Saccharomyces cerevisiae S288C: one gene and its partners. Changing the gene in region 1 together with any one later gene gives a genetic interaction. Each region holds a gene or a part of one and is shown in the gene's direction. Other genes may lie near its edges. The genes, in order: STM1, YEF3, MPT5 and PRB1.

The links.
Region 2: of STM1 (region 1) and YEF3, extra expression of one impairs growth in a mutant of the other (dosage growth defect), as found in Saccharomyces cerevisiae (one study listed by BioGRID).
Region 3: of STM1 (region 1) and MPT5, extra expression of one rescues a mutant of the other (dosage rescue), as found in Saccharomyces cerevisiae (2 studies listed by BioGRID).
Region 4: mutations in STM1 (region 1) and PRB1 together harm fitness more than expected from each alone (negative genetic interaction), as found in Saccharomyces cerevisiae (2 studies listed by BioGRID).

What each region holds. Positions count from the first base shown.
Region 1 is NC_001144.5:437,772-442,615, forward strand, and holds STM1 (Stm1p), read left to right. Parts: upstream 1-2,695; coding exon 2,696-3,517; downstream 3,518-4,844. Other genes in the region: GID11 (Gid11p), read right to left, coding at 1-2,052; PCD1 (8-oxo-dGTP diphosphatase), read right to left, coding at 3,944-4,844. UniProt on the Saccharomyces cerevisiae protein: Ribosome preservation factor that protect a small pool of nontranslating, vacant ribosomes in cells under nutrient starvation conditions.
Region 2 is NC_001144.5:633,746-640,897, forward strand, and holds YEF3 (translation elongation factor EF-3), read left to right. Parts: upstream 1-3,034; coding exon 3,035-6,169; downstream 6,170-7,152. Other genes in the region: serine/threonine protein kinase RCK2, read left to right, coding at 507-2,339; nucleobindin SSP120, read left to right, coding at 6,572-7,152. UniProt on the Saccharomyces cerevisiae protein: Ribosome-dependent ATPase that functions in cytoplasmic translation elongation. Required for the ATP-dependent release of deacylated tRNA from the ribosomal E-site during protein biosynthesis.
Region 3 is NC_001139.9:164,602-171,666, forward strand, and holds MPT5 (Mpt5p), read left to right. Parts: upstream 1-2,750; coding exon 2,751-2,753; intron 2,754-3,393; coding exon 3,394-5,970; downstream 5,971-7,065. Other genes in the region: serine/threonine protein kinase TOS3, read right to left, coding at 1-490; YGL176C (uncharacterized protein), read right to left, coding at 6,814-7,065. UniProt on the Saccharomyces cerevisiae protein: RNA-binding protein involved in post-transcriptional regulation. Negatively regulates expression of HO by binding to the 3'-UTR of HO mRNA. Predominantly binds to mRNAs encoding chromatin modifiers and spindle pole body components.
Region 4 is NC_001137.3:39,147-44,801, reverse strand, and holds PRB1 (proteinase B), read left to right. Parts: upstream 1-2,848; coding exon 2,849-4,756; downstream 4,757-5,655. Other genes in the region: phosphoacetylglucosamine mutase PCM1, read right to left, coding at 1-1,550; HHY1 (Hhy1p), read right to left, coding at 1,842-2,150; SOM1 (Som1p), read left to right, coding at 2,178-2,402; kinesin motor protein CIN8, read left to right, coding at 5,265-5,655. UniProt on the Saccharomyces cerevisiae protein: Vacuolar proteinase B involved in protein degradation in the vacuole. Among other substrates, acts on carboxypeptidase Y (cpY/PRC1) to activate it by processing its Pro-peptide.

The sequences.
Region 1 (4,844 bases):
TGAGAATTCGTTACTTTCCTGAGTTGTAATCACTGGTCTTCTCAAAAAATTGGATGTGCCTCTATTATTCCTACTATTTGCAGCAAAATTGTCATCATCTGACGGTAAGTCTGGCGTTGAAGGTGGTCTGAGAAAACTTTCAAAAGCTCTTGCGGAAACACCATGATAGTCTGAAGAAACACGATACGTTGAGTGAACATCATTGTAAGCTTCATAATATTCATCATCTTCAAAAACATCATTACTAGCTTGCTGGTGAGAAAGTATTAAGGGGTCAATTAAATTTTGAGGTGCGGAATTTGACGACGAAGTTGCGATAGAATCAGCAGCAGGTGTGCCAAGACTTGCGTTAACATTGTTATTAGAATAATCGGCGGTTGGTGCCGAAGTCGATACTCTCCTTACCCTGAATGAACATCGTCTCTTGTATGGATGAGCTACGTCACTTGATGAACTACCTTTCGTAGAAAACAGAACCGATTCGTTACTAATTTTATCCATAACTTTCGGAAAAGGTAGAATTTGCGGCTCCAAATACTTTTTTGGGATTCTTTGAGCCATAGTTATCCATGGTTCTGTGGTTACATTTGGCATAGAGGGCAGCGAAAATCTTCTTCTTGATAAAGACCGATAATCCGCCCCTTGTAATTCATTTTTGCTATCATTACTTTCGTTTTCGTTGTTATTATTTGTGGTGAAATTATGATTTGTATTATGCTTCCGTTCGTTTATATATTCCATATTAACTTTATCAGGAATAACAATAACTTGGTGGTTAACGTAGTTTCTTGTATCTACAACGTGTACTCTGCCCTGATGTTCAGAAATGAATAATAAATCATCTAGGCCATAACTGAACCTACAGACTCTAAATGCACCGTTGTGGGAATGTGGTCTAGTCGAACTAATTTCTGCCATGGGAGTAGCCATGTTTCTGATATCATAAATTGCGCAAGTACCATTTTGAAATACCGTCGCAAATTGCAAGTCGTTTTCGGAAAAAGAGTTATAAAACCCATGGTCTGAATTTGGAGCTTCATATATGTTTTCGATATATTCTGATTCATCAGGTAACGCAAACCGTGGTATCCGTCTAACACGATTGACAGAACTACCCCAGGAAGGATGATTATCGTAATGTAAGGAGAATTGGTTGGTTAATTCATTTTGATTGTAAACAGCAAATTTATTAGAATCGCCAGACACTACCATCGTTTGACCATCATGTGACAAAGAAGCGTTATTCAAAGGAAATTTTAAATCCGCATAACGCTTCACTAGTGTTACATCTCTATTACTTACATCGCATTGGTAAAGATGACCATCATTGTTGCATGCAAAAAGATCAAACTGCATACTGGCCCTGTCATAAAGTGTGACACAATTATTGATGAACTGGCCCAACGTAAAAGTCATCATTGTGTCCGTTTCTTGATTATAAAACTCCACGATGCCCTTCCAGATATTAGGATTTGAATAATGTGAATTTATAGGGAAACTAATATTTTTGGAAATATTAATCGGTTGGGAAGGTGGCGGCAACGAAATATTTGCATCTTGAGCTAAACGGTTCCAATTAGAAGGGAATCCCTTATCATCAGAACCGATTAGACCACCACAAACAGTCAACCCATTTAATTCCGTGAAACATCTCGGCTTAAAGTTGAACTCTACCAGTTTCTCGGAAGGAACATGTAAATTTTTGGAGATATACGAGCCCGTTGTCCTAGAACCTTTTGTAGACGTTTTTTCAGTAGAGTTTTTACCACTGTTACTCGGTTGAATAGAATTATGTCGCCTTACTGGAGACCTCAATACGGAAGAATCCGTATCTAGTACTCTTATCGAATGATCGTAAATATAATACAGTTTACTCTGGTTCATGGAGCCTGGTTTGATACAATCCCGCAACTGCCAATGGTTTATGGAGACCTTGGCATCGTAGAGTTCTAAAGCAGGCATCATATAGTTTTGGTAAACCTTATCAGAGCCAGTATTTAACCGTTCATCTTGCAGCGCCTCCTTAGATTGCCCCGTGCCATCAATGGTCATTCTTTAACACGTATACTTTTGTAACTTATTGCTGTTTTTCTACCACTTTATTCGATCTTACTTGTCGTTGCTTAATCAGCAAAAGTTTTGTACTAGAATAAAGTTGTAATAGGCTTTTAATCCAGAGTCTCCTCCTCCTCACTTTCTGATCATCACCCCTTATTGCCTCAGAAAAGAGATCATACTCCGCTTTAAAGCCGTTCAATGTCACGTGACACAAAGTTGTAGCCGTATAACATATGGCGCTACCATGTTGTTATTTAGACGGGTAACATCACCGTTTAGAAAGATAAAGGAAAGTGAAATTATTGGAATGGAAAGTGTTCCCAAAAGTTCGCACCAACGCAAAAAGAAATTTTTTTTTCAATTTTGATATCATCGTTGCGTAGAGGAAGCCCTAACTGAGTAGAGAAATTATATGGTATTTTCCTTGTAATATTTGATTTTGAGTCGATATCCCCTTTGTTCTTCTTCCTTCCTTCGCTTGTTTTAGTTGTATACTTGGTTTATTGTGGAAGATTTTTTTTTCTGCTTCGTAGTTTTAAATTAGAAGTTATTTCTTTGCAAATTTCTCTTCCCCCCACAGTATTCTTTTAGAGGTGAAGTAGAAATAAACCAAGAAAGCATACACATTTTATTCTCAATGTCCAACCCATTTGATTTGTTAGGTAACGACGTCGAAGACGCTGACGTTGTCGTTTTGCCACCAAAGGAAATCGTCAAGAGCAACACTTCCTCCAAGAAGGCTGACGTCCCACCTCCATCCGCTGACCCATCCAAGGCTAGAAAGAACAGACCAAGACCTTCTGGTAACGAGGGTGCTATCAGAGACAAGACCGCTGGTAGAAGAAACAACAGATCAAAGGATGTCACTGACTCTGCCACCACCAAGAAGTCCAACACCAGAAGGGCCACTGACCGCCACTCTAGAACTGGTAAGACTGACACCAAGAAGAAGGTTAACCAAGGTTGGGGTGATGACAAGAAGGAATTGAGTGCTGAAAAGGAAGCTCAAGCCGATGCTGCTGCTGAAATTGCTGAAGACGCTGCAGAAGCTGAAGACGCTGGTAAGCCAAAGACCGCTCAATTGTCTTTGCAAGACTACTTGAACCAACAAGCTAACAACCAGTTCAACAAGGTCCCAGAAGCTAAGAAGGTTGAATTAGACGCTGAAAGAATTGAAACTGCTGAAAAGGAAGCTTACGTTCCAGCAACCAAGGTCAAGAACGTCAAATCTAAGCAATTGAAGACCAAGGAGTACTTGGAATTTGATGCCACTTTTGTTGAATCTAACACTAGAAAGAACTTCGGTGACAGAAACAACAACAGCAGAAACAACTTCAACAACCGTCGTGGTGGTAGAGGCGCTAGAAAGGGTAACAACACTGCTAACGCTACTAACTCTGCTAACACCGTTCAAAAGAACCGTAACATTGACGTTTCTAACTTGCCATCTTTGGCTTAAGCCTTATATATGAATAATTCCAACTGAAAGAATCCAATAACAGTGTTCTACTTTCTGTTTCTATTACTATTATTATTTTAATTGGTTATTTACTATATAATTTGCAAGTGAAGATGATCATGCTGGCAAACCAAAGAATAAAATTGGGTTGACATCCAATCGAGAATATGACATATCATTTTGTTTTATTTAAGCAATAAAAAATAAATGACTTTTAATTTACTTTTCAATTTTCTTTTTTTTTTTTTCACTTCTGAGATGTGCAAGCGTGTAGTTTGTTTGTATTTGTATAACAATTTCATCATTAGTCATTCTTCATTAAAAACTTTTTGTTATCGATTAAGGACATCCAGTATGATTCTTTTTCTCTCATCTTGATTATCTCTTGAGAGTATTGTTAGGCAACGCATTATACCACAGTTTTTTTTACCAAAGCGAGCGGCACTCCAGCAGGTGCTTCATGTAGTATTCAGGTATCACATCGCTATATTTTAAGTTTCTGTCGCCGTTGATCATTCCTATCTCCCATTCACTTCTTCCGTTCGGTTGCATCTGATTACCATAGTCATGTAGTCCAACTATCAAATCTTCGTGCCCTAGTTCTCCTTTTAACTTTTCGTCCATTAGTCCATTAGCTATACATGAAACGTCGAATAATATTTTACATGTGAGTCCCCACAAATCCCTGAATCTGAAAATACCTCCATCAACACCGTCTTCGTCTGAACTTGATAAATCCTCTATGGTTTGCAACCATGGCATTTCGTTATTATTTGCTACGTGAAAATGATAATGCATAATCAACCATTTTATTCCACCCCAATTAAGCTTATACTCCTTCCGCTCAAAATATTCTGCTTGATAACTCTTAACATCCTCATCGGCTTCAGGAAGAAGATGTATAACTAAGTCATTGAGTGGTACAGAAAACAAAGAAGATGTTTCTCCAGGGTTCAGCTTACCAAAAAACTTACGGATATCTAAGGGAACTTTGTATTTATCCTCATGTTTTTCTAATTTATCTTTGTAAAGAAAACAGACCATTGGCTTAACACTTAAAAATGTTCTTGATAAATAGCATGGCATATCCATGACCAAATTGTCTAATTTCATTCCGAACTCCTTATGCAAGACCTCAGGATCATGCGGTAACCCAATCTCCTCTTCAGCTTCTCTTCTGGCTACGCTTTCAAAGGTTTCTTGAAAATAATCAGCTTTACCTCCAGGAAATGAAACATCACCTGAGAAGCTTCTCAATGTTCTTGAACGTTTAGTTAAAAGCACTCGTAGTTCGCCTTTCATTCCAATGAATAATAGTATTATTACC
Region 2 (7,152 bases), 200 kb from region 1:
AGGCTGAAAAAGAGCCACTACGATCCAAAAAATCACCGTTAGTTTTAGTCGTCCACGAGTACGTTGGCATAAAGTCTAGTAATCTTTTTACTTTATAGCAATCAAGAGAAAAAAGGAGGATAAAGGGACATTTATTTGTTATTGTTTTTTGTTCTTTTTAAACTTTTTTACTGGCTAGGTTTAAGGTTATAATTATAAATCCAGTGATTAAGAGGAAACCTCGTCAAGAATCCTAGATAATAGTAATCAGCGACAGTTATTTCAACGAAGTCAAACTCTATCTCTGGGGCTTTATCTCTCCTATTGACATCTAACTTTTTACAAACGCTTACTAGAAAAGACGGATCGGCCAAAGAAAAAAAAAGAGTGACATCGAAAAAATTAAAGAAAATAAAATCCCAGATAGTTCATACGTTATTTGAAGTACAAACATTTAACGATTGGAAAAGACGAAAGTATTGTTAAGAGTACTGCTTATTTAGAGAGGATCAAACAAAATCTCTTCGATGCTTAAAATAAAGGCCCTTTTCTCGAAAAAGAAACCGGATCAGGCAGATTTGTCTCAGGAATCTAAAAAACCATTCAAGGGTAAGACCAGGTCAAGCGGTACAAATAACAAAGATGTTTCCCAGATTACTTCTTCCCCTAAGAAAAGCTTTCAGGACAAAAATATAGTTCAGTACCCGAGTGTTGTCGCAGATGACCATCATATGAAGTCTTTAACCGATGAATTAGTAACCACGATAGACTCGGACTCTTCACCGAGTGATAATATTACCACGGAAAATGTGGAAACAGTTACTTCCGTGCCAGCTATCGATGTCCATGAAAGTAGTGAAGGTCAATTAAGTTCCGACCCCTTAATATCTGACGAATCTCTTTCGGAACAAAGCGAGATTATCAGTGATATCCAGGATGACAGTACTGATGATGACAATATGGAAGATGAAATTCCGGAAAAATCCTTCCTCGAACAAAAGGAATTGATAGGTTACAAGCTGATCAATAAAATCGGTGAAGGTGCTTTTTCAAAAGTCTTTAGAGCCATACCTGCTAAAAATAGTTCTAATGAATTTTTAACTAAAAACTATAAAGCTGTTGCCATTAAAGTTATCAAAAAGGCAGATTTATCCTCGATTAATGGTGATCATCGTAAGAAGGACAAAGGGAAGGACAGCACTAAAACTTCTTCCAGAGATCAAGTCTTGAAGGAAGTTGCACTACATAAGACGGTTTCCGCTGGTTGTTCACAAATTGTCGCGTTCATAGACTTCCAAGAAACAGATAGCTATTATTATATTATTCAAGAGTTACTAACCGGTGGGGAAATCTTCGGCGAAATTGTTAGGTTGACCTATTTCAGTGAAGATTTATCAAGGCATGTAATCAAACAATTAGCACTGGCTGTTAAACATATGCATTCACTAGGTGTAGTGCATCGTGATATAAAACCTGAGAATCTTCTTTTTGAACCGATTGAATTCACACGCTCTATAAAACCAAAATTGAGGAAATCGGATGATCCGCAAACAAAGGCAGACGAGGGAATTTTCACACCAGGAGTTGGTGGTGGTGGAATTGGTATAGTAAAACTAGCTGATTTTGGTTTGTCTAAACAAATATTTTCCAAGAACACCAAGACTCCTTGTGGTACAGTCGGTTACACTGCCCCTGAAGTTGTCAAAGATGAGCATTATTCTATGAAAGTGGATATGTGGGGGATTGGTTGCGTTTTGTACACAATGTTATGTGGGTTCCCGCCATTCTATGATGAGAAAATTGACACTTTAACTGAAAAAATATCAAGGGGTGAGTATACCTTTCTGAAACCTTGGTGGGATGAAATCAGCGCCGGTGCCAAGAATGCCGTGGCTAAGCTATTAGAACTAGAGCCGTCTAAAAGATACGACATTGACCAGTTTTTGGACGACCCATGGTTAAATACATTCGATTGTTTACCAAAGGAGGGCGAATCTTCACAAAAGAAAGCAGGTACTTCCGAAAGACGCCATCCGCATAAGAAACAATTCCAACTATTTCAAAGAGACTCCTCGCTACTGTTTTCACCAGCTGCTGTTGCTATGCGTGACGCCTTTGATATTGGTAATGCTGTGAAACGTACCGAAGAAGACCGTATGGGAACACGTGGAGGATTAGGCTCGCTTGCTGAGGACGAAGAATTGGAAGATAGTTACAGTGGCGCCCAAGGCGATGAACAGCTGGAACAAAATATGTTCCAATTAACGCTGGATACGTCCACGATTCTGCAAAGAAGAAAAAAAGTTCAAGAAAATGACGTAGGGCCTACAATTCCAATAAGCGCCACTATCAGGGAATAGCAACTTTCCCTTCTGTTTCAATCTTTTTACCTATTCCTTTTTAAAAGATATATATACATTAAACTCCTTCTACAAGTATATATTTTATACATATCTACAGGGCGTATATATACATAACATTTTAAGATAAGCAAGTGAATGTTGATTCCCGTTTCTTAGTCAACACTTCTTTCTATTTTACCCGGTCGTTACCCTATTAAAAAAACAACTTACAATCATTGTTCGCCCCTTCCATACTTACTGCCACTCGCAAAAGGGCCCAACCAGGGCAATTACGTATCAAAAAATCATGACAGGCTGGGTAATAAATATTCGTGAAGAAAGAAGAAATTAAAAAAAGAAACGAAGAAGCAAAAAAAAGAAAAGACTCCGTTTAATCACTTTCAACCGCGGTTTATCCGGCCCCACCCATGCATAACCCTAAATTATTAGATCACTTAGCACGTGAAAAAGAAACGTTTTTAATGTTTTTTTTTTTTTTTTCTTTTTCTTTTTTTGCGTTGGTGAAAATTTTTTCGCTTCCTCGAGTATAATTATCTCATCTCATCTTTCATATAAGATAAGAAGTTTTATAAAAACCTTTTGCATCAAAATTTTGTAGAATATCTCTTTTTCTTACGCTCTCTTTCTTTCCTTAATTGTTTTCTAAAGAACCGTGTATTTTTCTAGTTCGAATCCATCGATAACATTAAAAGATGTCTGATTCCCAGCAATCCATTAAGGTTCTAGAAGAACTATTCCAGAAGTTATCTGTTGCCACTGCTGACAACAGACACGAAATCGCTTCTGAAGTCGCTTCTTTCTTGAATGGTAACATCATTGAACATGATGTTCCAGAACACTTCTTCGGTGAATTGGCCAAGGGTATCAAGGACAAGAAGACCGCTGCTAACGCCATGCAAGCTGTTGCTCACATTGCTAACCAATCTAACTTGTCTCCATCTGTTGAACCATACATCGTCCAATTGGTTCCAGCTATCTGTACCAACGCAGGTAACAAGGACAAAGAAATTCAATCTGTTGCTTCCGAAACTTTGATTTCCATCGTTAACGCTGTTAACCCAGTTGCCATCAAAGCTTTGTTGCCACATTTGACTAACGCTATTGTCGAAACTAACAAATGGCAAGAAAAGATTGCTATTTTGGCAGCTATCTCTGCTATGGTCGATGCTGCTAAGGATCAAGTTGCCCTAAGAATGCCAGAATTGATTCCAGTCTTGTCTGAAACCATGTGGGACACCAAGAAGGAAGTCAAGGCTGCTGCTACTGCCGCCATGACCAAGGCTACCGAAACTGTTGACAACAAGGATATTGAACGTTTCATTCCAAGTTTGATTCAATGTATTGCTGACCCAACTGAAGTTCCAGAAACCGTTCATTTGTTAGGTGCTACTACTTTCGTTGCTGAAGTTACTCCAGCTACTTTGTCCATCATGGTCCCATTGTTGTCCAGAGGTTTGAACGAAAGAGAAACCGGTATCAAGCGTAAGTCTGCTGTTATTATTGACAACATGTGTAAGTTGGTCGAAGACCCACAAGTTATTGCTCCTTTCTTGGGTAAATTGTTGCCAGGTTTGAAGAGTAACTTTGCTACCATTGCTGACCCAGAAGCCAGAGAAGTTACTTTGAGAGCTTTGAAGACTTTGAGAAGAGTTGGTAACGTTGGTGAAGACGATGCTATTCCAGAAGTTTCTCACGCTGGTGACGTTTCTACTACTTTGCAAGTCGTTAACGAATTGTTGAAGGACGAAACCGTTGCTCCAAGATTTAAGATTGTCGTCGAGTACATTGCCGCCATTGGTGCTGATTTGATCGATGAAAGAATCATTGACCAACAAGCTTGGTTCACCCACATCACCCCATACATGACTATCTTCTTGCACGAAAAGAAGGCCAAGGACATCTTGGACGAATTCAGAAAGAGAGCTGTCGACAACATTCCAGTTGGTCCAAACTTCGACGACGAAGAAGACGAAGGTGAAGACTTATGTAACTGTGAATTCTCTTTGGCTTATGGTGCTAAAATCTTGTTGAACAAGACCCAATTAAGATTGAAGAGAGCCAGAAGATATGGTATCTGTGGTCCAAACGGTTGTGGTAAGTCCACTTTAATGAGAGCTATTGCCAACGGTCAAGTTGATGGTTTCCCAACCCAAGAAGAATGTAGAACCGTCTACGTCGAACACGACATTGATGGTACTCACTCTGACACTTCCGTCTTGGATTTCGTTTTCGAATCTGGTGTTGGTACTAAAGAAGCTATCAAGGACAAATTGATTGAATTCGGTTTCACCGATGAAATGATTGCTATGCCAATCTCTGCTTTGTCTGGTGGTTGGAAGATGAAGTTGGCTCTAGCTAGAGCTGTGTTGAGAAATGCTGATATCTTGTTGTTAGATGAACCAACTAACCATTTGGATACCGTCAACGTTGCTTGGTTAGTTAACTACTTGAACACCTGTGGTATCACTTCTATCACTATTTCTCACGACTCCGTTTTCTTAGATAACGTCTGTGAATATATTATTAACTACGAAGGTTTGAAGTTGAGAAAGTACAAGGGTAACTTTACCGAATTCGTTAAGAAGTGTCCAGCTGCTAAGGCTTACGAAGAATTATCCAACACTGATTTGGAATTCAAGTTCCCAGAACCAGGTTACTTGGAAGGTGTTAAGACTAAGCAAAAGGCTATTGTCAAGGTTACCAACATGGAATTCCAATATCCAGGTACCTCTAAGCCACAAATCACTGACATTAACTTCCAATGTTCTTTGTCTTCCAGAATTGCTGTCATTGGTCCAAATGGTGCTGGTAAGTCTACTTTGATTAACGTCTTGACTGGTGAACTATTACCAACCTCTGGTGAAGTCTACACCCACGAAAATTGTCGTATCGCTTACATTAAGCAACACGCTTTTGCTCATATCGAATCTCATTTGGACAAGACTCCATCTGAATATATCCAATGGAGATTCCAAACCGGTGAAGATAGAGAAACCATGGACAGAGCTAACAGACAAATCAACGAAAACGATGCTGAAGCTATGAACAAGATCTTCAAGATTGAAGGTACCCCTAGAAGAATTGCCGGTATCCACTCCAGAAGAAAGTTCAAGAACACTTACGAATATGAATGTTCTTTCTTATTGGGTGAAAACATTGGTATGAAATCTGAAAGATGGGTTCCAATGATGTCCGTCGACAACGCTTGGATTCCAAGAGGTGAATTGGTTGAATCTCACTCTAAGATGGTTGCTGAAGTTGATATGAAGGAAGCTTTGGCTTCTGGTCAATTCCGTCCATTAACCAGAAAAGAAATTGAAGAACATTGTTCCATGTTGGGTTTGGACCCAGAAATTGTTTCTCACTCCAGAATTAGAGGTTTGTCTGGTGGTCAAAAGGTTAAGTTGGTCTTAGCTGCCGGTACATGGCAAAGACCTCACTTGATTGTCTTAGATGAACCTACCAACTATCTGGACAGAGATTCTTTGGGTGCTTTGTCTAAGGCTTTGAAGGAATTTGAAGGTGGTGTTATTATCATTACTCACTCTGCTGAATTCACAAAGAACTTGACTGAAGAAGTCTGGGCCGTCAAGGACGGTAGAATGACTCCATCTGGTCACAACTGGGTTAGTGGTCAAGGTGCTGGTCCAAGAATCGAAAAGAAGGAAGACGAAGAAGATAAATTCGATGCTATGGGTAACAAGATTGCCGGTGGTAAGAAGAAGAAGAAGTTGTCTTCTGCGGAATTGAGAAAGAAGAAGAAGGAAAGAATGAAGAAGAAGAAGGAATTGGGTGATGCTTACGTTTCTTCTGACGAAGAATTCTAATCTTTTTGATCACTGCTTTCACAGTTTTCTTTAAGATTTTTATTGATCAATAATTTATGTATATTTTAATTTCTATGTTTTTGTAATATTGTTTATTTTGGTAAAATATAGACGCAACTTCCTTATTATAAAGAAAGGCATTATTTAAAAGAAAAAGCGTTCCATTAGTCAGACATCTTTTTTTTTCATACATTCTTAAGCTCAGGCAAATTGAGCATTGCCTCATACCCTTTTCGGTAAGAGGGTAACGAAAATATTTTTTTGGAAGAATAAAAATAGGTGACGGATCATAGACTAGGAAGCTTTAAAACATGATTGAGCGTAATATTATATTCCTTCTAGAAAAGATAAAAGAGCCAAGACCTAAAATTTTTTCATCCCTGTTCTATTAAAATTGTGGAAATGAGGTTTTTGAGGGGATTTGTATTTTCTTTGGCTTTCACTCTATATAAAGTAACTGCCACGGCAGAAATAGGATCTGAAATTAATGTGGAAAATGAGGCACCACCTGATGGTTTATCCTGGGAGGAGTGGCATATGGACCATGAGCATCAGCTAAAAGATTACACTCCAGAGACTTTCTTCGCGTTACATGATATCAAGAAGAAAGGATTTTTAGATGAAAACGATATTCTATCTCTCTACGGGTTGAACCGTGAAGAAATTGTGGGGGCTGGTGATGGTATGGGACAACACGATGAATCTGAGAAAATTGACAATGAAATGGCTAAGCGTGTTGTTAGCCTTATTATGAGGTTATTGGATGTTGATGATAATACCAAAATCACCAAGGAGGAATATCTACAATTTGCTAAGAGAGGAAACAAGTTCCCTGACCTTGGCGTTGGTGTAGGTCACCACTCCGATTTTGAGCTAGAATATGAAATTCATCACTGGAATAAGTTTCATAAGGACAAAGATCCAGACGTTAAAGTCGTTCACAAAGAAGACATAGAACATGAATTGCTTCATCATGAACATGA
Region 3 (7,065 bases), on another chromosome or scaffold:
GGAAAGTGAGTATTGATGGTCCCACTGCTTTTATCTCCATTTTGTTTTCTGGACACCATTTAACGGGTCCCCTTGAGCAATATTCTAATACAAGATAAACCTTTGTGCTCTCAGGGTCATTCAAAATTTCATACAATTCCACAACGTTTTCATGATGACATCTTTTCATTACTTCAATTTCTTGATTAACCCTTGGATTTTCTACTTTCAATTGAAGAGAATACCCGCTTCTTTTTTCGAATCTATTAAGAATTTTTATTGCAACCAACGCACCTGTCCCGAGATCTCTTGCTAATTTCACTTTGCCGTACTGTCCATTACCCAAAGTGGCTAAAATTTCAAAGTTGTTAAGGATTTGTCTCTTAGTTAAGGGATTATATAATAGTTTGACTTTTCTTGTCTCTTTTATACGACTACTACTATTGCTCGCATTATTATATAACAGAGATGATCGAGGCAGCGGCTGAACAGGTTCTTTAAGTAGTACCATATTCTTCAAAGCTTCCTTTTTATATGCAGAATATGTGCGCAGCAATTTCAAGGCGTAGAGTACGAGTCACTAGAGGCTCGAGCATTATATACCACTTACAAGTAGTGTTTCTTATTGGGGACACCTGTCCTAACAATGTATGGCTTTATATACCGCGCGGATAAGTAAGGCACACCCGCTCTTCGTATAATACCCGCACAAAAGATTCAGGGACCGGGTATGCTCAACGAAAAAAATAGCCAAGATTGTTGCGAGTCCTCATCAATGAGGACATACAGAGAATAAAAACAGCCATATTTTGCTTGCTGAAGGACGTTGTGCAAACCGAAGATATCAGCGGTAGTCTTTATAGGACCCGTTGGTTTATTATATACAAAGGGATCTTTAAAAGGTCCGGTGCGAGGGGACGGGTGGAGATGGAAGTTATCAACCAAATGCAATTTATCCGAAGCGCAAAAAAAATAAAGGTGCTCCGATGGACCTTAGAAAGGAACTCCAAAATGCTGTGATGGACCGGCGAGGGCGGTAAACGAAACTACCACATTGCATAAGAAACAAAATGTACGGCCCCTTCTACACAATCTATTTATGGTTTTCGTCTTGACCTCCTAATTACTTAATTAATGATTACATTTCTTAAAAGCACAAAAATAAAGTAGCTACCCTTCTTAAGCCATAGTAGTTAAAGCCTCAAGTGCATTGATAATCTCCTGACCCTAGGTCGTCTTTCGCGTGGGCTATCGCCACCTAAGGAAAGGATTAAATGGAGCAAGTATTGGAAATGTAAAGAAATTGCAGAATGTTCTGATTACTTTTCATCACCCAAAGAGTCCATACTACCACTACCACCAACCATTGCCGGTGAGCGGTTTCTTGCTCATTAACATGACGTACAAGGGAACGGAATGTCCCTTGTACGTTGTAATGTCTTTTGCTCTCGTAAAGAAGCCTATACACGCCCCTTCCTTCCGCCCTTCGGCATCCGCTGCCAACTGGGTGGGGGCTCAATGGATCTCTTTACTCTGGCCCTTAGAAGCCTTCTGAAATTCTCGGCTTAGGCATCGAACGATGAAGAAACTAACTAAAAATATACGCCATTTTTTTGGGGAGGGGGGGCCGCACTGAAACGCGAAATGCCAAAAAAACGCGAAACGCCGCAGTAAAAGGTCAGTACCGCGCAAAAAATACAAAAATGACAACAATATTGGCCTTTCTTTTCCTAAAGCAATTAACTGGAAAGCGAGGTTCTAAACATCTGGCCAACCCCTAAATTTTTAATAATTCCGAAGCGGGATATATTGCATCTGGCAATCTGAAAAGCAATAGAAAGAAGCGGCCTAGTACTGCATAGTGAGTGATAAAATATACATATTAAGGTTGGGGAAATGGTACGCGCTTTCAAGTAGCTAGAAAGATCTGAATGTTCTGAAGTACGGTTTGGATTTATACGCGGTTATTTCCTGGACTAGCTTAGAGCCAATTAATACTGACGATTGCCTCTTTTTCTTTACCGTTTATGTATGCTGTATGCCCTTTTCATGTATAAAAGAAGGGTAATTTAAAAAAGTTTATAATCATCCAGATTCCTTATTTTTTTTCTTCTTTCGCCAGGTGTTTTACCCAGCTAAGACTAACCTTGTGGTTCAGATTACACTAGTATTGCCGTCCGATATTACAATTCTGAAATCAGTTTTCTTGTGATCATTCTTTTTTTCTCTCTTGCCATTCTTAAACGTGGCCTACAAGAACTCTTCTTCTTTCCTGGTTCGCATCTGTGTTAAACGTATAGATTTTCTTACATAGAGGCCTAAAAAGCATAATAGGTGGTTTCCTTTCAATATATATCTGAAACATTGAATATACTGAACACAATTCACATTTCAAAACCTTGGGTACTGTTGAGTCAACATCAAGATCAGCCTATTTCATAATTTACTTTATCTTTTCACACAAAAAGAGAACAGGTAAAAAAGAACAGATCTGCTAGCCCCGAGAAGATCATTGACACATCATTGATTGGCAAGTTAAGTAATAAAAGAAAGGTAATAACATCAAGAAGTCAAGCGCCTTGAAATTACTAGATTTGGACTACGGATCAGCAAAAGCCTGCTACTACAACCGCCACTTTTACTATTCCTTAAGATAAAAGCTAAAAAACCAAAAAAAAAAAAAAAAAAACCTCCTCAACTCCTCTCCAACACATAGTAAAGCGAATTCTACGCAAATTTATAAATCAATTACGATTTTTCCAGTTTCTCTTATGGTATGTATTATCTCTTAATTCCCAATATTTTTCTTCGCCAATGGAGCATAAGCTTTAACGGGATCTTCTAACAACAAATAGCATAATAACCAAAAACCAGCTTCAGTGGGATCAGCCTATCGACACGCCTTTTTTAGCGGTCTAACAATCTCCGTTTATGTCGTATGGAATTTCTGATACTTGACCCTACCTTATTTCTCGAATATGCCTATAAGGATTTTCTCGAAAGAAGGGCTTCGGGAAAGAGGCGCCTCAGGCAAAAATGAGCAAAAAAAAAAAAAAAAAGAAAAGATTCGAAGATCTATGAAAAATTTATGCAGATTCGTTGAGAGTTATAAGGATTTTACTCTTTATGGTTATAGGTTTCATTCTAAAATCAAGCATAAATTTTGTGTTTTGTCTTCCTCTTTTCCTGTCCTCTTTTTTTGCCATCCTCTGTCGCCATTGAAGTCGAACTTTATAGATAGATTTACTCTTGATTCTCACGCATCTCAGGCCACCTGGACACTGTACATGGTTGTGATTGTTCTCTTTCTCAGTTATCGAAATTGATCCTAGGCTTATACTCCAAAATCGGCTCTGCACACGCCTTATTTTTGTGGTTTCACTTTACTAACACAACATTCTTTTATTCAATCAGATCAATAACGAACCATTTCCATCTGCCGACTCAGCATCGATTTTAACTACGTCTACATCAAATAACTCCTTAATGTCTTACAATCATCAGCCTCAACTATCTATTAACTCCGTCCAATCACTCTTGGAGCCCGTGACCCCTCCGCCTTTGGGCCAGATGAATAACAAAAGAAACCATCAAAAGGCTCATTCGCTTGATCTCTCTGGTTTTAATCAGTTCATATCATCGACACAATCTCCCTTGGCTTTGATGAATAATACATCAACATCGAATTCTGCTAACTCTTTTTCCCCGAATCCTAATGCTGCTAGCAACTCCACTGGGCTTTCAGCCTCAATGGCAAATCCTCCAGCCATTCTACCATTAATCAATGAGTTTGATCTGGAAATGGATGGTCCCAGGAGAAAATCAAGCCACGATTTCACGGTTGTTGCTCCTTCGAACTCTGGTGTCAATACCTCCAGTTTAATTATGGAAACACCATCCTCTTCAGTGACTCCTGCTGCATCTCTCAGAAATTTTAGCAATAGTAATAATGCTGCTTCCAAATGTGGAGTGGATAATTCGTCATTTGGTTTGAGTAGCTCAACGTCTTCATCTATGGTCGAAATCAGCGCACTACCCCTTAGAGATCTGGATTATATCAAACTTGCCACTGACCAGTTTGGCTGCCGTTTTCTTCAAAAAAAATTAGAAACCCCCAGTGAATCCAATATGGTGAGAGACTTGATGTATGAACAAATTAAGCCATTTTTCTTGGACCTTATTTTGGATCCGTTCGGTAACTATTTGGTTCAAAAACTATGCGATTATTTAACTGCCGAGCAAAAGACATTATTAATACAAACAATATATCCAAATGTTTTCCAAATATCAATCAATCAGTACGGAACTCGTTCCTTACAGAAAATTATAGACACTGTCGATAACGAAGTTCAAATCGATCTCATTATTAAGGGATTTTCCCAAGAATTTACTTCGATTGAGCAAGTGGTTACTTTGATAAACGATCTTAATGGTAACCATGTGATTCAAAAGTGTATTTTCAAATTCTCGCCATCAAAATTTGGTTTCATCATAGATGCTATTGTAGAACAAAATAATATCATTACCATTTCTACCCATAAACATGGTTGTTGCGTACTACAAAAATTACTAAGCGTTTGTACTCTACAACAAATTTTCAAAATTTCTGTGAAAATTGTGCAGTTCCTTCCTGGATTAATCAACGATCAGTTCGGTAATTATATCATCCAATTTCTGTTAGATATCAAAGAATTGGACTTTTACTTATTGGCTGAGTTATTTAACCGTTTATCCAATGAATTATGTCAACTATCTTGTTTGAAGTTCTCCTCAAATGTTGTGGAAAAATTCATTAAAAAATTATTTAGAATCATTACTGGATTTATTGTTAATAACAATGGGGGTGCCTCCCAAAGGACTGCAGTTGCTTCTGATGACGTGATTAATGCTTCTATGAACATTCTTTTGACTACCATTGATATATTCACAGTCAATTTAAATGTGCTAATCAGGGATAATTTTGGTAATTATGCGTTACAAACGCTATTAGACGTTAAGAATTATTCTCCTCTGCTTGCTTACAACAAAAATAGTAACGCAATTGGGCAAAACAGCTCTAGTACATTGAATTACGGTAACTTTTGTAACGATTTTTCATTGAAAATTGGTAACTTGATTGTCCTTACAAAAGAATTACTTCCAAGTATTAAAACTACATCCTATGCAAAGAAAATTAAGTTGAAAGTTAAAGCTTATGCAGAAGCCACAGGTATACCATTCACTGACATATCTCCTCAAGTCACTGCAATGAGTCATAACAATCTTCAAACGATTAACAACGAAAATAAGAACCCCCATAACAAAAATAGTCATAATCATAATCATAATCATAATCATAACCATGCTCACAATAATAATAACAATAATAATCAAAAGAGTCATACCCGTCATTTTTCTTTACCAGCTAATGCTTACCATAGAAGAAGTAACAGCTCTGTAACCAATAATTTCTCAAACCAATATGCACAAGATCAGAAAATTCACTCTCCGCAACAAATTATGAACTTCAACCAAAACGCATATCCCTCGATGGGAGCACCTTCTTTCAATTCTCAAACTAACCCACCATTGGTAAGCCATAACTCGTTACAAAACTTCGACAACCGCCAGTTTGCAAATTTAATGGCACATCCTAATTCTGCTGCACCAATCCATTCGTTCTCATCATCTAACATTACCAATGTGAATCCTAATGTTTCAAGGGGATTTAAGCAGCCTGGATTTATGATGAATGAAACCGACAAAATTAATGCTAATCACTTCTCGCCATACTCTAATGCAAATAGTCAAAACTTCAATGAATCTTTTGTGCCTCGTATGCAATATCAAACGGAAGGTGCAAACTGGGATTCAAGTTTGTCAATGAAGTCGCAGCATATTGGTCAAGGCCCATATAATCAAGTTAATATGAGCCGCAACGCTAGTATTTCCAATATGCCTGCCATGAATACCGCTAGAACATCTGATGAACTTCAATTCACTTTGCCATAATACTTTTTTTTCTTTCTTTTTCTTTCCTTCTTACTGTACAAATATTTTACGCAGAAATCAAAGACAAAAGAAAAATAAAAAATAAAAAATAAAAAATTCAACTAAGCAATGACGTCCTACTAAAGTCCCAAAATTTGAGCCGGAAAAAAATGGTAAAGCAAACTATTGCCATCTTTATATTTTGTATTCTGTTTCCGAACACGTATCCAAAATCCTCCCACTGCCTTTGCAGGGTTAGCATTGCTCCCTACCAAAATGATCTAATTTTTTTTTGAATCGTTTTTTGTCAACGATTATTTTTGTTTTAAATTCCTCATCTTCTGAACTTACGCCCAACTATTATTTAATTCATTCATTCATTAAGCAATCCATACGTCCATTCATTCATTCAGTTTTCTTTTTGTCTATTACTGTCATTTTATTTTCAAATCCAATTGTCCTTTAGGACACTAATGTGTTAAAATATCCATTCGCTCAAGCATTTTTAATAAATAGGAAAATACCGTTTGTTTTTCTTTGTCATTTGTATAAATTTTTCTACTGGTTCCTGTCTTGGTTGGCTTTATTATATTTAGGTTTAACTTGTACTAACAATGATACATATTTGTATATTTTATTATAATATCATATCTAACTATATCTAAAATCGTTGAACTATTCAGAATGGAATTGTACACCAAGAAGAATTATGCTATAACACCATAAGGTCATTACATTTGGGTTTTGACTGCTAATTAGTTCGAAGTCGGCGTTAAAATTTAAAGAATATTTATACATATGAATATGTATATGAATGCAAAGTATGCTAAAATATTTATAAAGCAAAAATCTCGGTGGGCTAAACTAGGTCAAAGCAGATGTTATGAAGATATTGGCCCCATTGTAGGGATCATCTTCTCTCCGAATTAAGATGCATATTTTTTGAGAAAGTGCTTCTTCAGGTATATCGTAAGGTGAAGTACTGCTCTCTTCACCTAGAGGTTCCACAGCATCAAACGGATTTACGTACCTTGGGGGTATGAAAGCCGAATGTAGGTGGATAGATTCAAACTGGAAGTTTTCTAACCTACAGTAGTTCTTCATACCTCCTATTGG
Region 4 (5,655 bases), on another chromosome or scaffold:
CCCATGGGATACTTGGCTACCACAAGATCTATCTTGTCTTGCAACCCCACTGGATTGAGCAATTTTCTTTCCTGGTCCGTGGTTTGGAAAATTGACCTATCAGGAACGATGCACTTAACCAGCTTGTTGGGCAAATCAGTATACTCTTCATCCCAATCCATTGGCGACATTTTCAAAATCGCCAAAGTAGCAAGGACAGCAAGCATGTCTGAAATAGCATCTCCCACGGTCTGATTAATCAATTCAGAGAAACACTTCAAAGTTCTCAAAGCTAACGTATCACCATTTAACTTGGACTTGGATAATTCAGATTTGATAGTTCGATGAAATTTTTCGCTGAATATAATCGTACCATGTCCATTTGCTTCGAAATAAATGCCAATATCGTACTGAGTGGCAGCTTCATGATGCAAGTGTTTAACACCTGTCTTAGTGCAAGACACGGGACAGTGCAACGTATTTTTTATGTAAGCGGTGGAACTGCCGTTTGCATAGGCAGTTTGCACAACACCAATCTTCAAAGAATGTTCTAGGTGTGCCAATTCTAGTTGTTTAGACAAGAACTTTGCAAACAAAGTGGAAATTTTGTCACCATCCAACAAATGAAATTTTGATCCTGAGTCGACATAGTAGAACACAACCCTGTCTGCGTCACCATCAAAGGAGCAATATAGCGAATCAAACGAGGATGGAGAAAGACCCTTGGGTAATCTCTGGTTAGTCTTCACATAATCCGCACCGCATTCAAAATTCAACAGTTCTGGAACATCGGACCTGTCGTTGATTACCTCAACTTGCTCCGCTGGCACGTCCCAATCTTCGGAGGCCAGTAGTTTTTTCAACTGTGGACCACCGATACCATTGGCTGTGTCTATGAACAATTTTGGGACAGACAGCCTCTTCTCCAGCTGATACGTGGCGAAGAGCTCGTTGAAGGCTCCTATAAAGAACGAATAGTAGTCCTGTTCTGTGGCAACTGGCGCTGTGTCTCCTTCCAGTTTCCGCCTGTTGGACAAATCAGTAATGTAATGCAATTGAGGCGTAGTGACACAGCCTAGGTCCAAAACTTGCGCGTGGAAGACGCTGGCCATGGAGGAAGTCAAGCAGCGCAGCAAGTATGGACTACTTTCCCTAGAGTCTCTCCCAACCACGATGTGAGGCACGACGGTTGTATTCAAATCAATCTTTTCGTGTTCAATCAGCTTGGCCAACTCAACACGAAATTCTTCAAAATTAGTGGCAAAAGAGGCCGCATTGGCCAACTGCATGGCATATGGCTCCCATGTGGCCAAAAGCATCGATCCGTCTGGTTCCACGATCTTGACCCCGTTGTCCTGGTATGGGTTGTGCGACGCCGTGATCATCACCCCCACATACTGACCCTGAAGCTTCAGCGACCTGAGAACCGCCAGTATACCAGTACTGAACATCACCGTATCCAAATTCTTGGCCAGCGTTCTGAATCCGGCCGTACCGTAACTGAACTGCACATTCTTTGTGCGGCACGTGTCATCGTAGAGTTTGCACAATTGCTCGTAATCAACCTTCATCGTCTCTAAGCTTACTGCTGACCTTTGCCTTGGTCCTTGTACTTGTCTCGATTGCTGAAACCATTAACGGTTTTTTGTTCTTACTTAATCTTTTTTTTCCCGACGACGCAAAATGTCAGAAAAGATATAAATAGAGCAACGTTTCCTGCTACATGAAACACGCTGGCATATAGAAGAACTTCAACGAGCGAGGCTCTCTGAACAATCTGCTAATCGTGCAAGTAAGGGTTCTCGTGACAGTTCACCGTGTATAAACAGATAAACAGATAAACAGTCAGATATGCTTAATTTTTAACTGTAGGCTGTGCCGACATGCCATTTTATGCGGCTCACTTCTAACAAAAGTGACCATGACGCACAAGCAAGCAAACAGCCAAGTAAGGAAGCAGACAGCTTCACAGCACACACACACCGTTGTGTACGAAAATCCTCTGCAGAAGAGTGTATATGCCACTCATCCACACTTCCGCAGCGCAGTACGTAATGCGGTATCGTGAAAGCGAAAAAAAAACTAACAGTAGATAAGACAGATAGACAGATAGAGATGGACGAGAAACAGGGGGGGAGAAAAGGGGAAAAGAGAAGGAAAGAAAGACTCATCTATCGCAGATAAGACAATCAACCCTCATGGCGCCTCCAACCACCATCCGCACTAGGGACCAAGCGCTCGCACCGTTAGCAACGCTTGACTCACAAACCAACTGCCGGCTGAAAGAGCTTGTGCAATGGGAGTGCCAATTCAAAGGAGCCGAATACGTCTGCTCGCCTTTTAAGAGGCTTTTTGAACACTGCATTGCACCCGACAAATCAGCCACTAACTACGAGGTCACGGACACATATACCAATAGTTAAAAATTACATATACTCTATATAGCACAGTAGTGTGATAAATAAAAAATTTTGCCAAGACTTTTTTAAACTGCACCCGACAGATCAGGTCTGTGCCTACTATGCACTTATGCCCGGGGTCCCGGGAGGAGAAAAAACGAGGGCTGGGAAATGTCCGTGGACTTTAAACGCTCCGGGTTAGCAGAGTAGCAGGGCTTTCGGCTTTGGAAATTTAGGTGACTTGTTGAAAAAGCAAAATTTGGGCTCAGTAATGCCACTGCAGTGGCTTATCACGCCAGGACTGCGGGAGTGGCGGGGGCAAACACACCCGCGATAAAGAGCGCGATGAATATAAAAGGGGGCCAATGTTACGTCCCGTTATATTGGAGTTCTTCCCATACAAACTTAAGAGTCCAATTAGCTTCATCGCCAATAAAAAAACAAACTAAACCTAATTCTAACAAGCAAAGATGAAGTTAGAAAATACTCTATTTACACTCGGTGCCCTAGGGAGCATCTCTGCTGCTTTGGTCATCCCAAATCTTGAAAATGCCGCCGACCACCACGAACTGATTAACAAGGAAGATCACCACGAGAGACCCAGAAAAGTGGAATTCACTAAGGACGATGATGAGGAGCCATCTGACTCTGAAGATAAAGAACATGGAAAGTTCCATAAGAAGGGCCGCAAGGGCCAAGACAAGGAGTCTCCGGAATTCAACGGTAAACGTGCAAGTGGCTCTCATGGGAGCGCCCACGAGGGAGGAAAGGGCATGAAGCCTAAGCATGAAAGTTCCAATGATGATGATAATGATGATAAGAAGAAGAAGCCTCACCATAAGGGTGGCTGCCACGAAAATAAGGTGGAGGAGAAGAAGATGAAAGGTAAGAAAGTCAAGGGCAAGAAGCACCACGAAAAGACGTTGGAGAAAGGGAGGCACCACAACAGGCTGGCTCCTCTCGTGTCCACTGCACAATTCAACCCAGACGCGATCTCCAAGATCATCCCCAACCGCTACATTATAGTCTTCAAGAGAGGTGCCCCTCAAGAAGAGATCGATTTCCACAAGGAAAACGTCCAGCAGGCACAACTTCAATCCGTAGAGAACTTATCTGCCGAAGACGCTTTCTTCATTTCTACTAAAGACACCTCCTTGTCCACCTCTGAGGCTGGCGGTATCCAGGACTCATTCAACATCGATAATCTTTTCTCCGGTTACATCGGTTACTTCACCCAAGAGATTGTCGACTTGATACGTCAAAACCCATTAGTAGACTTTGTTGAGAGAGACTCTATTGTCGAGGCTACAGAATTTGACACTCAAAATAGCGCCCCATGGGGGTTGGCCCGTATTTCCCACAGAGAGCGCCTCAACCTGGGGTCCTTCAACAAGTATCTCTACGATGATGATGCCGGTCGCGGTGTCACGTCCTATGTTATTGACACGGGTGTCAACATCAACCACAAGGACTTCGAAAAGAGAGCCATTTGGGGGAAAACCATCCCACTTAACGACGAAGATCTCGACGGTAACGGCCACGGTACCCACTGTGCCGGTACTATCGCTTCCAAACACTACGGTGTCGCTAAAAATGCCAACGTTGTTGCGGTGAAAGTCTTGAGATCAAACGGGTCTGGTACCATGTCTGATGTCGTCAAAGGTGTCGAATATGCCGCAAAGGCGCACCAAAAAGAAGCCCAAGAAAAGAAAAAGGGGTTCAAAGGTTCCACAGCCAATATGTCGCTTGGTGGTGGCAAGTCCCCAGCTTTGGACTTGGCTGTTAATGCAGCCGTTGAAGTCGGTATTCACTTTGCCGTGGCTGCTGGTAACGAAAACCAAGACGCTTGTAATACCTCCCCAGCTTCTGCTGACAAGGCCATCACCGTCGGAGCTTCCACGTTGAGCGATGACAGAGCCTACTTTTCCAACTGGGGTAAGTGTGTCGACGTTTTCGCCCCAGGTTTAAACATTTTGTCCACCTACATTGGAAGTGATGACGCCACCGCCACTTTATCGGGTACCTCAATGGCTTCCCCTCACGTTGCTGGTTTGTTGACCTACTTTTTGTCTTTGCAACCAGGTTCTGATAGTGAATTTTTCGAATTGGGCCAGGATTCTTTGACTCCTCAGCAATTGAAAAAGAAGCTAATTCATTACAGTACAAAGGACATTTTGTTCGATATCCCTGAAGACACTCCAAATGTTTTAATCTACAACGGTGGTGGTCAAGATTTGTCCGCTTTCTGGAATGATACCAAAAAGTCCCATTCATCTGGTTTCAAGCAAGAATTGAACATGGATGAATTCATTGGATCAAAGACCGATTTAATCTTTGATCAAGTGAGAGATATTCTTGATAAATTGAATATTATTTAATTCTTCATTTAGAAAAATTTCAGCTGCTTTTTTTTTTCTTTTTCTTTCCTTAGGCGTCTCGAGGTTACAAGTCGGAGTCCCTCTTCACTATCGTTTGTCCACTTTTTTTATATCCCCATTATTTTCAATCTGAATTTCATTTTTTTTTTTTAATTCATGAAATTTATATGTCCCACGTATTACTACATATTTGCGTTTTTAATTAAATAAATAACTGTTACTTTTATTATATCTTATTTGCAGATCACTTATCTGATCAAATGTTTTCGTTTTCGTGTGTGGTGACGATGTATTAGGTACGCGAAATAAACAAAACAAACAAACAAGGCCGCAACAATAACATCATCTAAAGACTTCCTTTGTGACCCGCTTCTCAACAGCGGGTGTAGAACTTATGGTATGGCCAGAAAGTAACGTTGAGTATAGATACAGAAGCAAGCAATTCAAAGGAAAAAGTAATAAAAAGTATATAAAAGCGCAAAAAATACAACAAGAAAGAATTTGTTTGATGCCAGCGGAAAACCAAAATACGGGTCAAGATAGAAGCTCCAACAGCATCAGTAAAAATGGCAACTCTCAGGTTGGATGTCACACTGTTCCTAATGAGGAACTGAACATCACTGTAGCTGTGCGATGCAGAGGAAGGAATGAAAGGGAAATTAGTATGAAAAGCTCCGTTGTGGTAAATGTTCCAGATATTACAGGTTCTAAAGAAATTTCCATTAACACGACGGGAGATACCGGTATAACTGCTCAAATGAATGCCAAGAGATACACAGTGGACAAAGTCTTCGGTCCCGGCGCTTCCCAGGATCTAATTTTTGATGAAGTGGCGGGCCCATTATTCCAGGATTTCATTAAAGGTTACAATTGCACCGTACTGGTATATGGTATGACGT